Linked DNA regions of Arabidopsis thaliana. The protein of the gene in region 2 interacts with the protein of the main gene of each other region in a pairwise test. Each region holds a gene or a part of one and is shown on either strand. Other genes may lie near its edges. The genes, in order: LBD16, BBX12 and BBX29.

Evidence for each region.
Region 1: the proteins of BBX12 (region 2) and LBD16 interact in a two-hybrid assay, tested with the Arabidopsis thaliana proteins (one large-scale study listed by BioGRID).
Region 3: the proteins of BBX12 (region 2) and BBX29 interact in a two-hybrid assay, tested with the Arabidopsis thaliana proteins (one large-scale study listed by BioGRID).

Annotation. Positions count from the first base shown.
Region 1 is NC_003071.7:17,661,583-17,665,919, forward strand, and holds LBD16 (lateral organ boundaries-domain 16), read left to right. Parts: upstream 1-1,770; 5' UTR 1,771-2,085; coding exon 2,086-2,388; intron 2,389-3,136; coding exon 3,137-3,571; 3' UTR 3,572-3,755; downstream 3,756-4,337. UniProt on the Arabidopsis thaliana protein: Transcriptional activator. Involved in lateral root formation. Regulated by the transcriptional activators ARF7 and ARF19. Functions in the initiation and emergence of lateral roots, in conjunction with LBD18, downstream of ARF7 and ARF19.
Region 2 is NC_003071.7:14,187,334-14,191,932, reverse strand, and holds BBX12 (B-box type zinc finger protein with CCT domain-containing protein), read left to right. Parts: upstream 1-1,678; 5' UTR 1,679-1,886; coding exon 1,887-2,603; intron 2,604-2,832; coding exon 2,833-2,982; intron 2,983-3,345; coding exon 3,346-3,593; intron 3,594-3,680; coding exon 3,681-3,774; 3' UTR 3,775-4,010; coding exon of another isoform or gene 4,011-4,013; 3' UTR 4,014-4,019; downstream 4,020-4,599. Other genes in the region: AT2G33490 (hydroxyproline-rich glycoprotein family protein), read right to left, coding at 4,267-4,278, 4,474-4,599.
Region 3 is NC_003076.8:22,113,794-22,117,435, forward strand, and holds BBX29 (B-box type zinc finger family protein), read right to left. Parts: upstream 1,747-3,642; 5' UTR 1,523-1,746; coding exon 1,028-1,522; intron 944-1,027; coding exon 791-943; 3' UTR 511-790; downstream 1-510.

The DNA.
Region 1 (4,337 bases), 3.5 Mb from region 2:
TTTAAAATATTGACAAATAATTAGTATATTCTTTCAGCCGATATTGATTTGAATTTATCTTTTTTTTTTTCTGGAACATCCAATAAAATTAAAACGATTAGAAAATGGCTTAGCATGGTTCATGCACATAAATGAAATACATAAAAATGATTTTATTTCACTAAATATAATTCAGCTAACTCATTTGCAAGTTTGATAACATGACTGTAGTTGAGAAAAAAAATGAAACTATAGTTAATTTGGTCTTGTTTCTCAAATTTTCGGTTGCTTATTTGATTTTTTTTTATTTACATGATAACAAACTTACCAACTATAACCATATCCGAGTAACTTTTAAAGTACACGAGCACTAAGTGAAGAAAGTCACATGCGTACACTAATCCTAATTGAATCACACGATTTCTCTCGTGTGCAAAATCCGTAAGTACATAATATTAATACTTTTTTTTGTAACATATTAAATTCTAATAATCTCCTCAGGTGATTTGAATCCTAGTCTGTACCAGCTACATACTCACTCCATGTAACCAAATATTCCTAAGCCACCTAAGCAGATCCAGCACGATCAATCAATATTACGAGCTTTAGTGTTTGTTTTGTCATAAAGGGAGTTTAATTAGCTTATAATTACGCATTTAACAATTATACTTACATAAATGGGCTTCAAATACATTCATGGCATTAGCATTTGTCGGTACATCTTTACCGGCATTTGCCGGTTCATCCGGTCCCCACACTTCACGACAAACAGCAGCAGTTCCGATGTCCGGCGTTCGGCGGAAGAACTTATAAAATAACTTTTCTAAAATTAAAATAAAAATAAAGAATGAATGAAAGAAGATAGACAAAATTGATTATTAATTGAGTTTGCTTTGAAGCTCCAAGAACCAAACGTATCCGGGTATAAAATAATACGAGATAAAGTGATAGAAGACCTAAGACTACCTCATTACTAAAAATATGGATATTTTTCTATACAAATCCACGAATGAAAAGAAAAAGAAGTTGGACTAATTAAATTGAAATCCAATAATTGTAAATATAATATTAAAACCCAATAAATTAGAAGTCTCATGTTGCAGTCTCCATTATTGATTGTCTCCTTAGAATCCAACATGTGACCCTCCATTGTCTACCATTCACACCCTTTGGCTCACTCGATAAATTTGGACATTAATTGCATTCATTTTATTTGTAAGAACCAGAATCTCAGTAGATGTTATTTGTGTTGAGTAAACTGTTGTTATTTATAGACTAGGCTATTCTTCGTATACACTTTGATACTGATTTTTAGTTCATCATCTATCTACCGACTAAATATAGTGTTTCTATGTGGCTTCTCCTCAAATGTCAAATTTATTTCTTTAATGTTGTTTGAGTTTCAAACTTGCAAAGTGCAAACCAATTTTGGTTGTTATACTAAAACCACACATATAATTAAAGACACCCACTATAGCATAAAATTCGTCGTGTAAGCAATTTTACTATAGTCTAAACTCCATAAAAGGACGTCGAAAAATATTGTGATATTGGAATTATAGTGTCAGTTTGTTTTTCTTTGGGCAAATGGATTGTAGTTTCATTATATATTACAATTTATAAACGAAACGATAAGTATGGCTCATACTTTAGTGATGGAGAATTAAAGTATTTTATATTCAGAGATGACACAATATGGTAGACCAAAAATAACTAATTAAAATAGTATCATATTAGATATTTATATGTGATTGTAAATTTGATCATTGAGTGAACATTTTAAATTAGTATGCCCAAGAAAGAAAAGAAAAAAAAAAAACTCTTTCTCTCTCATGATAATGTTCCTTTTATAAAATCCACCCAAAGACACCAAACACTTCTCCATCATCATTTCATTTCTTGTTCTTTTTCCACCATCACCATTTCCTAGTTCGCTCGTGCACATCTCCGACGATCCCAATTCTAAAATCATCACTTCTTCCAATCTTTTCAACATCTCTTCAAAATATCCAGTCAACAAAAAAAAAAGTACTTAAAACAAGGAAACCCCTTCTTTCTTTTTGTACATATAACATAAAAATCATCACTTTTTTGTTCGTTTCGCCGATGGCATCTTCCGGTAACGGTACAACGGCGGGGACAGGTTCACCATGCGGTGCATGCAAGTTCTTGAGGAGGAAGTGCGCATCCGATTGTATATTTGCACCGTACTTCTCATCGGAGCAAGGAGCAGCAAGATTCGCAGCTATTCACAAGGTGTTTGGAGCAAGCAACGTTTCTAAGCTCTTGCTTAATGTTCCAATCCATGATCGATGTGAAGCTGTCGTCACCATCGCCTACGAAGCTCAGGCTCGTCTTCATGACCCTGTTTATGGATGTGTCTCTCATATCTTTGCCCTCCAACAACAGGTAATTGACCGAGTAAATCGGTAGTGCTCCATCGGTCTTTATAGACTTTTTGTTTAGTTACTAACGGAATTTATGTGGTGGTTGACTCGTATGATATTTCCTGCATGAGATCGAATGTTCTCTGAATCTTGATGAATTAGCTAGGAACAACTTCTTTTCCCATCATTTCTTTTGTTTTCACATTAGGGCTTTTCTTCCTTTTTGCTTTGCCTAATTTTTTTTTAAAATTAAAGTTTGAGATTTTAATAATTTAGTTTTAAGAAAACGTTACAACGATAAATAATCAGTTTTCCAATAAATATTTGTCATGATGTTTTCATTTCTTATGTTTGTCATTTTCGATTCGCCAAAATCTTGAGTAAACGACACTGTACATGTTCTTTCCGTTTCATGAAAATTGATGTTTTGAATATTTTTTGCATATTAATGAAACGCTTACAAAAGTAAACATATTTATACTGATGCATTTACTATTCTAGGAATATGAAATTATATATGTGCTAACATTTAGATATACCAAATAGACTTACATAAAAACATTTCATTTTCTTTTGGCACAAAACATCAATTTCAATGAAGAAAAATAGACTATAAAACATACATATTCACAATAAACGAAGAAGCCTTTACTAATTCGTCTACATATGATCTTACAACTTTTTTTTTTCTTTTTAGTAAATGATCTTACAACTTATGAATAGAATTGGAATCAATCTTGTTTAACTTAGCGTTTGATGCGTTTATATAGGTGGCTTTCTTGCAATCACAAGTCATGCAAATGAAGGCACAGATAGCTGGCCACCAGACGTCAGCCGCCGGAGATCTAAGACACAGCTCGGAAAGTACCAACCAGTTTATGACGTGGCAACAAACTAGTGTCTCTCCGATCGGTAGTGCATACTCAACACCGTATAACCATCATCAACCTTACTACGGTCATGTAAACCCTAACAATCCGGTCTCGCCACAGAGCTCGCTAGAAGAATCTTTCAGCAACACGAGCAGTGACGTCACCACAACAGCCAACGTGCGAGAGACTCATCATCAAACCGGAGGAGGAGTATACGGTCACGATGGAATAGGGTTTCACGAAGGATATCCTAACAAGAAGAGATCAGTGAGTTATTGTAGTAGCGATTTAGGTGAGCTTCAGGCTTTGGCTCTTAGAATGATGAAGAACTAAGATAAGTTGGTAAGTTATGTAGACAGTCAGAGAACAAATGAGATGTTTTTATTCGAAGAAAAAAAAAACAAGACAATAGAACATTCCATGTTCACATGCTATCATCAATAAGATGTCTACTACACATCCATGTTTGCTTTAAGTCACTGGCCATTGATCAATCACTGAAATATTTGACTTGACAGTAATTTTTTTAATCGGTTTAGCTGAACCGATAAATCTGATAATTTGTTTTGGAAAGAATACCAATTGTTGAACGGAGAATTGAAACAGAAATGATCATTTAGTCATGATCGATCAATATTACAAATCTTCTAAAAGAAAAGAAATATTCAACAATCATGGAATTCATATATGGTTTTGTTTAGTTCATATGGCTTTATTTGTTTATCAATATAGATGTTTATATTTGACTAATCTGATATTCACGTATTCAATGCCTTATCATAAGCTTTTTGATTACCCACAACAAAAAAAGAGTTTATAAGTAACTAATCGAGGTCACTCGACATTATATATAAATCCATATTCGATGGATAATATAAAACCAAGCAAAGAAAGAAGTAATGTCACGCGAGTAAAGAGAAAATAATATGTAGGATATATAAATTTTATAGGTTAGTAATAAAAATGCTTCTGTGTAATGTAGTAGACTGAGCTCCATCACCTTGTATGACTTTGTTTAAGGATTCACTAAATTTCCTTTCCTAATAATTGTAGACGTGTGCGGCGCGCATCCAAGGGGTTGACTTTATTCACAAGACAT
Region 2 (4,599 bases):
ATTTTTACACCATACCATTATATATATAGGGAATAAAGGTATTGTCTGGAGGAAAATGACGTTTCCGTAAACAAAATAATGATAAAACAAAAATAGTGAAAAGAGTGAAAGAGAGAAGTGCAAAAGGGAATCTGTTGGAAGTGTAGAAAGAGAAAGCGACGACCACTTCAATCCAGTGTTGTTCTTTCTTTCTTTTTTCCTAGAAAATTAAAGATATTGCTTTTTACCAAATAATAATTTTATCTTGGTGGTAGAAAGGTTTGCAAGAGTTGTAATATACAGAAAGAGAGACAATGGGACCTAAGAAGGGAATCTCTGAGGAGAGACAGAGATGTTTCAGATCGAAAGAGACGCCAAATTGTGTCTGTCACTCTGTTCTTGTGTGTGGGTCTCCTCTCCTTCCTTCCTTATCGAATCCATATTCCATTTTGCTTTTTTTTCCCTAGAAGATTTTTAAGAATCCGAATTTTAACATAATCTTTTGTTTAGTATAATTCACTTTCCTTCTTTTTTAATTACTTTTTAAGGGTTCTTTAAAGGTTGTGTTTAGTTAAATTTTCGTTTCTCTATTATGAATTCAAGTGATATAGAGAATAAAGATTTAAGTGATATAGATGATAAAAGTTCACTTGTTAAAGAATAGTTGAATATTGAAGTCCTTTATGGTTTCGAAACCGAATTTACAACGTGATTTTCTGTAGGTTTTCTACATAATAAAGAATCAAAATTCGTAAAAGTAAGAATATAGAATATCCATTCCAAGTGAGTTTGAAACACATAATAGCTAAGTAACATGTGAAAAAACCTTAGGGCATAGGAAAATAGCAAAGGTTGGATGTTTTGTTTCTCGCACCACATAATGGGCAATGATTGTAACACCATTCATCTTCTATTCATATAACAACACAAGTACACAACCAATAATGATTTGTCACATAGGTGAAAGCGACACATGTGTGGGAGGAAAATTATGTTCGCTGAGCTTGATGAATCAATGAGAGAAAACATGGCTTTAAGAGATGAATCAAAGATGGATGTAAAAGGTAAAAAACACATCCTCATCCGATTGAAAAGTGGAAATCAGTAATTTATTTCCAACGTTTACTATATTCCAAACCTATGGACAAACATCTTGAGTTTTGGACAATTCTTAGAGATATGTTATTGATATTCGACTAAAAGATAATAACCTTTCTAAAAGAGACCAAGAAAGCAATCTCGTTACCAAGATACCAATGTCAAAAATAGAATGTTGTTATTGACATTCAAAATGACATTGCACAATGTTTCAAGATGTGCTACAACAGAACTTGCAAGATTTTTGGATATTTGGATACTTGGTGTGAATTCATGGCTGGATTTAGGATATGTTCCTAGTATATATATATTGACTTATTTGTTTTCTAAATTGCCAAATAATGATCATCTGGAACGATTTACGAGTTAGTAAACTTCGTACATGTGAAATATTCTCCTTATCGATCATGTCGTTAACATCCTAACGTCCCATCCAAATAATGGGCTTAGAATTGGGCTTAGCAGAAACATGGGCTAAAATCCTTGTGCGTGGATCTGAAAGAAAGGCAGCCAATTAATGTGCCTAAATCCATACACTGTAATGCAGCCAATTATTTCTCAAGTAATTAATTACCTATGTAAATGCAACTTTATTTCCGGTACAACAGTTAGATATTTTCAATTAATGACATCTTCTTCTTCTCCTTTCACTGCAAAACCGAAAGCTTGAGACTTTGAGATTATGTCTATGTCATCTTCTTCTTCTTCCATCGATCACTTCATCACCTTTCGTCATCTTGATCTTATTCTCCACTGTATAAAATCAGCGAGATTTTAAGGGATTGTGAAGGTACCATCTTAAACACAAAATGGGTACTTCTACTACAGAGAGTGTGGTGGCGTGTGAATTTTGCGGCGAGAGAACGGCGGTTCTGTTTTGTAGAGCCGATACGGCGAAGCTTTGTTTGCCTTGTGACCAGCACGTGCACTCGGCGAACCTTCTCTCGAGGAAGCATGTTCGTTCTCAGATCTGTGATAACTGTAGCAAAGAGCCGGTGTCCGTACGTTGCTTCACAGATAATCTCGTATTGTGTCAGGAGTGTGATTGGGATGTTCACGGAAGCTGTTCCTCCTCCGCGACGCATGAACGCTCCGCCGTGGAAGGGTTTTCAGGTTGTCCTTCGGTTTTGGAGCTTGCTGCTGTGTGGGGAATCGATTTAAAGGGTAAGAAGAAAGAAGATGACGAAGACGAATTGACTAAGAATTTTGGGATGGGGTTGGATTCGTGGGGTTCTGGATCTAACATCGTTCAAGAACTGATTGTTCCTTATGATGTGTCTTGCAAAAAGCAAAGCTTTAGCTTTGGGAGGTCTAAGCAGGTAGTGTTTGAACAGCTTGAGTTACTGAAGAGAGGCTTCGTTGAAGGCGAAGGAGAGATTATGGTTCCGGAGGGAATCAATGGCGGAGGAAGCATTTCTCAGCCATCTCCGACGACGTCGTTTACTTCTTTGCTTATGTCTCAAAGTCTTTGTGGTAATGGTATGCAATGGAATGCTACTAATCATAGCACTGGCCAGAACACTCAGGTCCATTTCTCTATCTCTCTCTGGCAATTGATTTTAGGGTTTTAAGTTTGGTCATGTGTTCTTGCTTTTGTGCTTAGAACATGTTACAGTAACTTCAGTTGGATCTTTAGGTCTCCAAATCTGTTAAGTTACCTGTCGGAACGTTGATTATTCTTTCTTGGTTGTCCTAATTAGAGATAAGACTCTGTTTTATGGCCTGGGGTTCACAGTGGAATATACGTTGTTGCAGATATGGGATTTTAACTTGGGACAGTCGAGGAACCCTGATGAACCTAGTCCAGTCGAAACTAAAGGCTCTACTTTCACATTCAACAACGTTACTCATCTCAAGAACGATACCCGAACCACCAATATGAATGCTTTCAAAGAGAGTTACCAGGTATTACATTGTTATTAGGTTTGGAATTGTAAACCATTTTATTTATCTCACAAATTGACAAACACAACGCACATTGCAGAACGTAATTAGAGTTTGTTCTATAGACAATAAACTCCCCCGATCCCTAAATTCAATCCCAAAACACTCCATACCTTAAACATTTGAATATTCCCTCATATATAGCTTAAGTTGGTGACTGATATACTGGTCTGGTAGTAGCTACATCTCATGGGTTTATTTCTATTGGTTAGAACATCTTGGAATGAATGAAACCTGATGTATTTATATCATAATTGATAAGTCAAACTACTATTTTTGGTATATCTTTGTCGGTGAACTGTGATACTTATAAGTAGAATGTAGCAGGAGGATTCCGTCCACTCAACTTCTACCAAGGGACAGGAAACATCTAAGAGCAACAATATTCCTGCTGCCATTCACTCGCATAAAAGTTCTAACGACTCCTGTGGCTTGCATTGCACGGAACATATTGCTATTACTAGTAATAGAGCCACAAGATTGGTGGCGGTAACGAATGCTGATCTAGAGCAGATGGCACAGAACAGAGATAATGCTATGCAGCGGTACAAGGAAAAGAAGAAAACGCGGAGGTAATGATGTTCTCCATTTTTTCTTTTAGTTTCCCTTTTGTAAGTTGATTGTCTTTCGAAATCGCTAATTTGTAATTGCTTCAGCAGATATGATAAGACCATAAGATATGAAACGAGGAAGGCGAGAGCCGAGACCAGGTTGCGTGTTAAGGGCAGATTTGTGAAAGCTACAGATCCTTAGATGTCTCTCCACGTTAGGTTTTACATTTGAGATCCTAAGTTAGGAACTTTTTTTGTTTTTTCTACTTTCAACTACCTTGTAAATGTAAATGATCGATCTTCAGCTGCATAATGTGTGGCCAGATTTTTGTAATTTTTACGTTTAACCTTCTAGAAGCAAAGTTTCTTAACCCAATCAAAAGAAGACAGACTCCACAGAAGTTAAACCCGTAAATCTCGGACGTAAAACATGTCACATCACTGGACAAAAAAAAAAAAAAAAGCTTCGTTGAGTGATAGTAGAAAAACCAAAATTCCTCAGGCAATTATTATTAACTCTGTTTGCCTCTATTTTTGTCATCATTCTCAAAAGGGATCAACTACTATATGTAATATACAACTAAGATCATCCATGAGACTAAAAATTGGAGGATATTTACATATATCTGCAACTATAGGGAATGCCTTCCTCCTACAGTTTTTAGGCAGCTACAAACGTCTTACACCTTACATCTTAAATCCTCCTCTGCAAATTCACCAATTAGAACGTATATCAGCAATTCTAGATTTTACACTTAAGCAGAACTTTGCGGAACACATGAAGGGAACCAAAAATCGGATTGCCCACATCTACTTAAACGTGACACACATGATGACTTTTTTACTCTAAACCACACAAAAAACTAATAGACAGTGAAAAGAAGTAAAATTAATGGTTTACCTCTTGTTTGGACATCATTAGGTGGTCTGCACGTTCGGGAAGAGCCTGTGGCGGTGGATGGATCAATGACATTGGGGTTAAAGGAGGCGAGGGAGTGCCTAACTTTTTAGTGCCCAGACTTGTCTT
Region 3 (3,642 bases), on a different chromosome or scaffold from region 2:
TATTTATCATATACGATCAAGAAACCAAAAACTTGGATCTTCTCATTTCTCACAAAACAAATAGATTCAAAATTAGAAATAAAACCAATTTATTTAGTTACATATAAATCATGAGAGCATCATTTTTTATTTTTTTGGAGCTTCGAACACGGTTTAGATACAAAAGACACGATGGGTTCAAAGCGTTTGACAAATAAATTTTTTTTAAAAAAACTTTAAAGGAGGACCCCATGGTACTAAATATCTTCTTTTTTCTAAGTCTTGACAACTTTTTTGTTTGATTCTTTTTAGTGGTCGTAGTTACAATTTACAAAGCTAACGGACATTCATACGTTATGTACTCTTCAGTTGTAACATCACAATGACACAGACACTTCTAGTTCTGGGAAGGCAAATAAAATTGACATCATAATAAATTTTGGTTTTGGCTGGTAATCCTTCTCACGTTATAAATTTATAATAATATCTCTTGTTTCACTAATTAATTTTCTTAATCATTTTCGTTAAAAAATAAATAAATAGAAAACAGCTTCATTTTCTTAATCATTTTCTGAACAACTTTGCTTCATTTTATTTTTTATGTTATATGATTTTATACTAGACATATGAACATATATATTCTAGGTAACACAGAAAAAAAAACACAAAAAAAAATCATTATATTGAAATGTTTTTAAACTAACTCAACTCACTAAAAGTATTGTTGTTAGTAAATGAACGATGAGGATTAATCTAATCAACCAAACAAAAGAATCATCAACGGCTACAATCTCTACTTTCCTTGGCGATTTCAATAAAACGAAGACGACGATGATGTATCACATCCCTCTGCTTTTCTCCTCCCTCCGTGTAATTTCACGATTGAGCTATTCATCACAACAGTTGATCTTGACAAACCTTCGTCTCTCGATAATCTTTTCAATGGTCTAGATTGGTTCTCCTCCTGCATTTCAAAAAGAATTGTTTCAGATTTCTTAATCATTTCCTAATAATAAAAGAAGATAAAGAAAAAGATTCATATTCATACATCGGAGAGGTTAAGATCCAAATCAAGTCTCGTCCTTTTCACCACCTGATCTCCTTCACCACTACTAACCGAAGACGACGAACTCACCACCGGAAGTTCTTGCTCCACCGCAGCCGGAACAACCTGATTCTCCACTTCTTCTTCTTCTTCATCCTCATCGCTTTCCTCATCATAAGACTCAGCTCCGTCGTTACAACCAATGATCTCTTCTTCTTGGTTAAGATTCTGATCCCTCCCGGCGAGGGAGCTGTTGTTATTCTTCTTACGAGCTAAACAAGACTCACAGATAGAAACAGTTGGGCCAAGATTCAGCCCAGAAGCTTTCCAAGGCGTGTGTGACTGACACGCGCTACATAGAAGACAACGCATGTGTTTCGCCACCAGAAAATTAGCTCCGTGAACTTTACCGTCACAATCCCAACATAAACTCGCTTGATCTGACTCACAATACATTCTCGCTACACCACAACATAACTCGCACTTCTTCTTCCCCATCTCTAGATATTATCTCGCACAACCACAACCACAAGCTCTCTCTCTATGTCTATCTCTGTCTCTAGATGTTTGTGTGTTATAAATATTCTTGGTAAGGTCTTTTGCTTCTCTCTCTTCTCTCGTTTCTTCTGCGGACACGAATAAGAGACAGCGTAATAGAGAATTGTAAAATGAGAATTTCGTGGCGACTTTTATGTGATTTAATTCTTTTCGAGGATATTGTCGTCTTTTTGATATTAACGAAACGATTTTTCACGTAATTTTTTAATGAAATGCAAAGAAGCTTCCTAATTTTAAATTAGAATAAGATTAAAGGATTCGTTCAAACTTTAATTTTTATGGTGGATAATTTGTGGATAATTTTGTATTAGTAGTTCTAAATCTGTGTTTGAAATTGATTAAGGTTTCCGCGGCTGAGTATTATTCTCGAATTCTTAAATTTAGGAGAGATGATAATAATAATAAAAATTAAAGGAAATGTTGTTATTTACTTGGTCCTGAAACCATGTACTGGGACAAGGCTCTCCTATGGGCGAAGTCTTACGTGTCGAGATATTATTCGTTTTATGTTTCATCAGATATTTTTATGCGGTTAGATTTTTAGTTAATGACGTGGCGAGATATTAGCCTCGTATAGAGGAGAGGGAAGATTCTGAGTTATCCTACGTGGACGAATCAGGTTCTGTAATAGACTTAGAACCACGTGATCCGCACCTGGGATTTGTCTGGTCCTCAATACACGTCTAATGGGTCCACTCTTTTTTCTTTCATTTTTTACTTTTTTCAGTATTCCTCTCTCGTTCCGGTCCAAGCGTTTTGTTTTCGAAAATGAAAAGTGAATTAAATATCATTTATATCGTTGGTATTACGGTAGGATAATAATGATGATCGGATTTTTAATATCGCATTTTGGGTTCGGAAATTTTGGTGTCCATGAATCAACATGGTTACTAGGAGAAGAACCTAATTTTATGATTTTATCAACCACTTTTAGCGTTCCATATTTTACATAATTCGAGTTAAATGTCTTTTTCTCTAAATAAAAATAAATAAATAAATCCAACCACTAATTTTACATTTTTACTTCACATCATTGGCAATTCGATATATTACTTGTTATTTGCTAATGGTAATTAAAAAGAATATAGAATATATATTTGAAAAATTATTAAACCTGGATTAAAAAAATGAAAGGTATTACGAATTTTTATCTAAAAAACAGGATAGATAGATAGCTAAGAAGCTTGTAGTTAGACAAATATTTTTTGTCATTTCAAATGTTTACAGTTGTGAGTTTTTAAAAGAAAATCACAACGATTTTTGTATGATAGAGTTTGATCTGTGGTTTTGATCCATAGAACAAACTAATTCATCTATGATCAAAGATGAATTAATTTGATTATTTGTATTCATTTGATCAAAGGAATTAATTTGTATCACGAAATCGAGATTAAGACTAGCAAAGATGGATTGAAAGTCATTTTAGGATAACAAATAATACGTAAAATATATATAAGAACAAAAAAAATGGTAAAGTTGGGCCTACGTAACATGCTTGAGAAATTTTTACGTGGCGAAGATTAGTGGTGTAAAGGGTGAAGTGTGAATTGTGAAGAATCAAAGGAACACGAGATGTCTTCATTTGAGAGCCACATGCATTAAAAAAGCGCTGATGAGTGGAGGTGTTTTGAGTTTTATGGTTTTTTGTTTTTTTACTTTTAAATGTTTGTGGATGACAACTTTAGAACAACTTAGAAGAAGCCTCGAATCAATACACATCTATCTTACGAATTACTCCTTATTTTTTGTTAGTTCTTTTCCATTTATGTTTTCTTTTGCAAGTTTCTTTAAAGATTTATTAAAAAGAGAAGTGGATTACAAATTTACAATAGAAATTGTTAAATTTGTTCAGTATGGGTGATCAACCCAATTATAATAATTTTAAATTTTTTTGTTGATAAAAATACATATTATTTACATTTTCAACATAAATTCTATCAAATTATATGATTTATATATATGTACACTAAGATTTTATTCATTCGGACCATTCCACGTTTGATTCTTTTTATCAGGGATACCGATGACTCTATGAGAGGTGCATCATTTTATTTGTCAAA